Linked DNA regions of Danio rerio. The protein of the gene in region 1 interacts with the protein of each later gene in a pairwise test. Links are inferred from orthologs where the notes say so. Each region holds a gene or a part of one and is shown in the gene's direction. Other genes may lie near its edges.

Region 1 (3,957 bases):
GATTGTTAGTGGCCCGATCAAGCATGTGCTGCCTTGTCACTAAAGTTTAATTTGGCTGTGACTGTCATTGCGTGCAAACAGGGTGCTTTCACACTTAAACGTTTGTTTTGGACCCTGTCTTGCTAGCCCAGTTAGCATGGTTCGTTCGACATATGTGAATCCCGCAATTGCGCTCAGATCCACGCCAAAACAATCACTCCGAGATCGATTGTAATGAGAAAGCAAAATGATCCAACAAACTAACGAACCAGACTATTTGTGTATTATGGTTGTGTAATAGTCATGGCTATATAAAATGAGAATTATGAGTAGGGCCGGATGTCATTCCTACTGGCAAATGTGTATTTTATGTCGAATATGAAAGTGAAGCATGCTGAAATAGAGAGCTGTTTATTTGTTGGAAAAACTGTGACAAATTACCATCTGAGAACTTTTCCATATGTTAATCTTATAAGATTTTGCATTAGGCCTATTGTTTTGGTTATTTCTGCACTGACAACTAGAAAGAAAGATCAATATTGAATATCAATATATCAGTTCATCTGTTATTTCTCTCTATAATTTAAGCATATATTTATTTCCAAATTTATTTACATCACAGTTGTATTTTTTAAAATTGTCAGTTGTATTCAAAGAAAAGTTATGCTGAAGTTATGTTTGGCTTTTGACACGTTATTTAAAATATGTGGCTAAGAAATAGTTATTTACTACTTTTTTTGGTGGGACCAGTGAAAATTTTGGTTGGGCAAATAAAAATCGGAACCACCAGTGGAAAAAAAATTGTTAGCGTTGAACCGTCTGGCCTTAATCACAGTATGAATTTTTTTATGAATAATTGGGAAATTATTTAACCATAAAATCACCATATGAATAGAAGTTCCCTTGTGAATCAAGTAAATCACAAAGATAATTAATGTCTTTTTCATGCCAATTCTGATTAAAAATCGATTTATTCTTTACTAAGATGCTTTCGTTGTTTCATAGCTTCACTTTGTGCAGGAAAAAATTGTAAACGAAACATAACTTCCATGCCAAAAGAGCCTGTTCATGAAATTTAGAGAGGTTTATAGGGAGTTTTGATGGAGAAAAACTACAAGTTAACAAAAATCTGAGACCACCAATCTGTTTATAAATATTATGTGGCATAAAGTAATCTTACTCGTACTTACGCTTCACGTCTGCGTCTTGTTTGCGCAGCTTTACAGTTGCTTTCTCCCCCTGCAGTTCAAACCCGTGCATGCGCATGCCCTACCCATTGTAGTTGCACTGAAGCACAACTCTGTAGTTTGAACCCGGCGCGAGGCAGCCAATCAGAACGTAGGTTTTTGTCTCGCGGAGGGCCGCTGCATGTTCTCTCATCATGGTGAGTCCAGCTAAATACACAGTTTATTCACATAAACGCAACGCTGTCGTGTTCTGGCGACTACCTAGCACACGTTTAAACAACAACCCGTGTTTTCGCTTTGGTTAAAGACAGTTGCTGTGAAGAAATGGATGTAGCGTAGACGAAATAAAGACTGGTTAGCATGTAAGCTAATGTGAATGAGTGGTTGCTGCTAATGCTAAAGCTAATGTGCGTTTGAATGAAGGTTTGGATGTGTTATTGTGTTTATTAAAGCACATGTGTTAAATGTGTCACATCTAATAGTGTCAGACGTTTCTGTATGGAAGCTGCTTGTGTAGGATAATCATTTGCTTTACTGACTGCATAGATGTTTATGCTGTGTTAGAGTAACTAACGTAGAGAACATAAACTCTTATCACGCTGAAAATATTAAATAAAGTAATTGAGTTTAATCACAGACAGTCCATCTGCTCCTGGCGAATTGAGATGTTAGTCGACTAATCAAACTTTAATAAAACTCTTAAATTAATCGAACTTGAGTGGCAGTTGATTAAACTCATATCTTCCGTGATTGTGTTGTTAAAGACTAATAAAATCATATGGTTATTATGATACTGAGCAGATTACTGGTTTTCTGTACATGTAAGAATACTAACTAAAGGTTATAAGCTGGTTTGGCTGGAACATTTGATATTTTCTGTCATTAGAATAGACTTGGGGAGGATCAGTCACAGATCAGTGATGCTCAGCATCTTTATCAGCACTTGTTTCTCTATTTGATGATTTTGGTAACTTACTGTCTTATGAACGCTTTATGACTGTTCCTTCATTCATTAATTTTCTTTTCGGCTTAGTCCCTTTATTAATCACAGCGTAATAAAGCACCAACTATTCCGGCAAATGTTTTGCGCAGCGGATGCCCTTCCAGCTGCAACCCATCACTGGGAAACATACACGCTCATTCACGCACAGACAATTTAGCCCACCTAATTCACCTACACCACATGTTTTGGACTTCTGGGGGAAACCGGAGCACCTAGAGAAAACCCACGGAGAACATGCAAACTCCATACAAACGCCAACTAACCCAGCCGAGGCTCGAACCAGCGACCTTCTTGCTGTGAGGCGATTGTGCTACCCACTGTGCCACCGTGTTGCCCCATCACTGTTCATGACTTTTCTATCCCTTTCAAAAAATACTGTTTTTAGAGCTTTTTCCACACATTTAATGCATCTGGCTAAAAGTCATATACAATACAATCCAATAAATGTAAAGGAATCAGCATTATTGCTGGACGGCATTGACATTCATGATCAAACTATAATAATAAACCTATTCATCTAATTGTTCAGCAAAGAAATCCTATTGTTCCGTGTAGGCATGGGCTGGTATAAGATTCTGGCTGTATGATAACCTTTTATAAAAATGTCACTGTTTTCTAGTATCCGCTTGTTAAGTTGTGATGGATGGACCATTATGAATGAAATGGCAAAGCGCTAATAATTTTCAGTAATAACCAATGGATTTTTTTTTCACTTGCACCATTAAAATTTAAATTCAGTTGTTTCATTCATTCTTTTTCCTTTCGGCTCAGTCCCTTTTTTAATCCAGGGTTGCCACAGCGGAATGAACCGCCAACTAGTCCAGCACATTTTTTTACCCTGCCCTTCCAGTCGCCACCCATCTGTGGGAAACATCCACACACACACTCATTCACACTCATTCACTACGGAGAATTTAGCTTACTCAATTCACCTGTACTGCATGTCTTTGGACTTTGGGGGAAACCGGAGCACCCGGAGGAAACCCACGCAAACGCAGGGACAACATGCAAACTCCACTCAGAAATGCCAACTGACCCATGCGAGGCTCGAACCAGCGACCTTCTTGCTGTGAGGCGACAGCACTACCTACTGCGCCACTGCGTCCCCTCAGTTATTTCTTAGTCACACATTTTAAGTAATGTGTCACAACCTGCAAACTCTATTTATAAACATATAATTTAGCATAACCTTTTTTTAAAAAAAGTTTTAAAAGCTATAATAAACTAAATTTATGCTCAACATAAATTTATGCATAAAAGCATGGAGAACTTTTAAACACCAGGTCTCACTGGAAGAAGAGACAGTACTGTCTCAATTTAATCTCCTGGCTAAATAAAGGAAATAATAATAATAACAATAAAAAAAACATGTTATCTTAAGGAAGACAAAACATATTGTTAAATAGTTAATAAATGTTAAATTTGTTAAACTTTTTTTGATAGATTTGTTGGTTTTACCGATTGGCCATAGCTTTACATGGACAATTAGGGAAAACTAAGACCTGAAGACCCACAACAGCATATTTAAGTGAATTTAATACTTTTCATTTTTTTTTTTGAGAAACATTTCTATTTTGGAGCTGTAAACATATCAGGCTGGATAATGAAAATGAGTCAATAACTTCTGCTGTCTTCATTTGTTTCAAAAACAGATTTCTTTACAATTAAATCGTCATCTTTGGATATCTTTTCTACTAGAGATACTGTTGTCCTAAAAAAAACTTTTTAAAAAGTAAATAGAAAAATCATATACATACCTTAGGAACAGTATTGCTGAATATTTTGGCG
Region 2 (3,500 bases), on another chromosome or scaffold:
ATTTTTTTTTTTAAATATTTCCCAAATTATGTTTAACAGAGCTAGGAATTTTAACAGTATTTCCTATAATATTTTTTCTTCTAGGCTTATTTGTTTTGTTTTAGCTAGAATAAAAGCAGGTTTAAATATTTTGAAACCCATTTTAAGGTCAATATTATTAGCCACCTTAAGCAATATATTTTTTGATTGTCTGCAGAAAAAACTACTGTTATACAATGACTTGCCTTATAACTCTAAGTCTTTGAATTGCACTTTAATCTGAATGCTTGTATTTTGAAAAATATATAGTCAAATATTATTTACTGTCATCATAGCAAAGATATCAAAGAATCAGTAATTAGAAATGAGTTATCAAAACTAATATGTTCAGAAACAAGTTGAAAAAATCTTTCCATTAAACAGAAATTGGGCAGAAAAAGGGTTGCTAATATTCAGGAGGGCTAATATTTCTGACTTCAAATATATATATATAGTTATTTTCCACTCTCCAAAGGAAAGAGAAATAAATACAACAGAATAAAAATATGAAACAAACTGTGCTTTAAGCATCTTCACTGTAAGAAAAACACTTTAGCTACAAAAATCCTTCAGTCAAGAGCAGTGAGGGATTTGCTCGTTTTGTTTGATTAATGATAAAAACAGGCGGCAGCAGTAACATTGCGCGCTGTCTCTTCAATGGTTTCTCTTTCACGCTTCTTTTGATCCTCAACTCGTTTGTTTATTACACAAATGAGGGTTAATATGAATAATCACTGAACACAGCGTTTTGACACCTATTTGACCTTTAAAGCGCTCGCGTTAAGATGACTTTAGATATCTGCGTTCCTCTGCTCGTCTTAGTGTGTGAATGAGACCGAATGCTGACCGGCCGCATGCTTTTGGCTGTGTGTGCTTGCCGCTCTCACACAAGCACACGGTGTTTTGCGCTTTTAAGAGCAACAAACGTGAACAGCTGAAAGGGGGCGGTATATGATGCAATAATCGTTTATCTTGATTAATGGTTTTTCATAATTGTTTGAAGCCAAAATGGAAATCGCATTTTCGATTAATTGCACAGCTCTACCCCAAACATTATGTTGCCAAATGTTTAAATTGTTGAAGTGCTCAGTCACATGCAAATGATAAACCTTCACTCTATTGTGGTTAAAATTAGCAGTGACTCTACAAATCACGTGTTCTGTAGCTCCTCTTGAACTATAATTCAGACTCAACATTGCAAATCTTGCAGATACACACATTGCAATATTGATGCTGAAACGATATATTGTGCACTATACTAAACATGCGTTGTACAGTGCTGATATACAGCCATACCACACTGCTACAAGTGTGATATTGCGTTTATACAACAGTTCAACGGCACAATCTTGTACATAAAGTAGAAAATCAAACACAGTCTAAAACCCTTTTGCATTAGGAACTACTTTTTTCAGCCGTTCATTCACATCTGCAGCTGACGTCAGAAAAGCAGAAGCCGTTACTAATTCACCAATGTCACTTTAAAGCTAGTATTTGAATTATTTGAATGACCTCCTTAAAGTGATGACAAAACAGCAAATTTTGCTCACATTTTAAGATCATAAGGCTGAACGTGACATGAAATGTCATCAGTCTACAGAGATTTCTCCCTACAATCTACTGTATTTCTGTTGCCATGGGTATTGTGACGGGTGCCAGGTGTCCCAGCGTTTACCCAGAGACTTTAAGGAATAAAAAGAAGAGACAAACTATTTTGCTCTTCCTATTGGCCTTGAAAAGGGAAAAAGAAAATGATGATACTTAAAAAAAATAAATAAAAAAAGACGCTCAAACATCCAATGTTTTAAGATTATATTGATTTAAGAACCAGACAGAACTGTTGTATAAATAAATAAATTAATTAAATTCATTTAAATATATATATATATGTCAACAAATTTGAGACACTGCTCGCTGCAGAGCCACTTGGGCTCCAATGAGGCGATCTCTCTCTCTCTGCTAATTTTATAAATATTGGATTCAAAAGTTCTTAATCTGCGCGTCACGTGAGTTCCGTGGGTTGTGATCTTTACCCATGGTATATTGTCAAAACAAACTTTTATTTTGGATGCGATTTATCATGATTGATTTTTACTTTGCAAAATTATTTTTTCGTTTATGTAACAATTTTAGTAATCTTATGTGATTGAGGAAAAACTATTAAAATCAAAATGCTAAATTTCAGAGTTGCAGAAACCTTTTTTGTTAATTGTTTCTGATCTTTAACTAGATTTTTTATACCAGAATTTTCGCTCATTAACAGCATATACTCTGATTTACAAAACTATATTATCCAAGTAAAAAATTATTAATATTTTTTTTTATCATACAGAAGTATAAAAAAGGAGGACGGCAAAGTGTTTCAGAATGGCAAGAACCACAGCCGGTCCCGATCTCGCTCTACGTCTCGTTCTCCACACAGACAGTAAGTTCTCTTCTCTTCATGATGCTGTTGTTATTCATGCACATCAAGGGAACATTTAAAACCAAATCAATGATCTGTTCTCCCCCAGTCGAAGGAGCCACTCAGGAACGTACAGCTCTCACAGCAGCCACAGTCCGTCTCCACGTCAAAAAGCCAGAAGACCGTCACCCATCAGCCAACTCAGGACAGACCGAGACCGACCCAGCGAAACCAGCCGTCACTCTAACAAGAGGAGGAGGTCACGGAGCAGATCTCGCAGCAATTCAAGAGAAAGAGTCCGCGATCGTGACTACATCAAACACAAACAGGAGGGCAGCGGCTCAGGGCACCACTGGGACCATCGGGACCGTGAGCGTGACCGTTCACGTGATCATGGACGAAACAAGCGCCAGAGCCGATCACATTCTGGACACAGTCATAGCAGACACAGGAGATGAAGCACAATTATGGACAACAGGACAAGACTAACGCTTGCTTCGAAACGCTGTTGTTTATTAACTGGTTAAGAAGTGGATGTTCTATCAATGTTACTCTTCTTGCATCTGACCGGTTCAGTTGGGCAAGGTAGTGGTGCCTTTTTATGTATTTGACAATTTAAAAAAGTGTTTTACTTTAAACTTGAAAGTGAACAACAGACGGACTGATCAAAATCTGCCTCTATCAGGGAACACATTCGCACAGAGCAGACGATACCTGTGCATGTTCAATGTCTTTTCTTTTTTTCATCAAATGTACATATAAAGCCTATTTTTATGATGTCAGGAGACTTTGTATTCATCTTTCTCTGCAGAAAATAAAAAGGATATAACATTCTACAACTTCATGTGTGTGATTTACTTTGATGTAATAGGGGATGCGCGAAATGACCTAAATAGAAAACCTTGATTAATTGAACAATACCTTGATTTCGAAAGAATAGTGGTTTTATTTTTAAGGTAATTGTTTACTTGTCACTCCCCCACTGTAGTTCATTATGGTGGATTGAGAAAGACAACATACTGTTATTCTACATAAATGTATTATTCTTATGTCTTCTGAGACGAATTACTATATCCAT

Evidence for each region. The genes of interacting proteins can lie anywhere in the genome.
Region 2: the proteins of prpf40a (region 1) and ccnl1b interact in binary tests that used the Homo sapiens proteins (3 or more experiments, as listed by UniProt). The link is inferred for Danio rerio from reciprocal best matches to the Homo sapiens genes PRPF40A and CCNL1.

What each region holds. Positions count from the first base shown.
Region 1 is NC_133184.1:4,681,951-4,685,907, forward strand, and holds the start of prpf40a (pre-mRNA-processing factor 40 homolog A), read left to right. Parts: upstream 1-1,157; 5' UTR 1,158-1,360; coding exon 1,361-1,363; intron 1,364-3,957.
Region 2 is NC_133177.1:39,643,060-39,646,559, reverse strand, and holds the end of ccnl1b (cyclin-L1), read left to right. Parts: intron 1-2,350; coding exon of another isoform or gene 2,351-2,353; coding exon 2,354-2,443; intron 2,444-2,531; coding exon 2,532-2,880; 3' UTR 2,881-3,258; downstream 3,259-3,500. UniProt on the Homo sapiens protein: Involved in pre-mRNA splicing. Functions in association with cyclin-dependent kinases (CDKs). Inhibited by the CDK-specific inhibitor CDKN1A/p21. May play a role in the regulation of RNA polymerase II (pol II).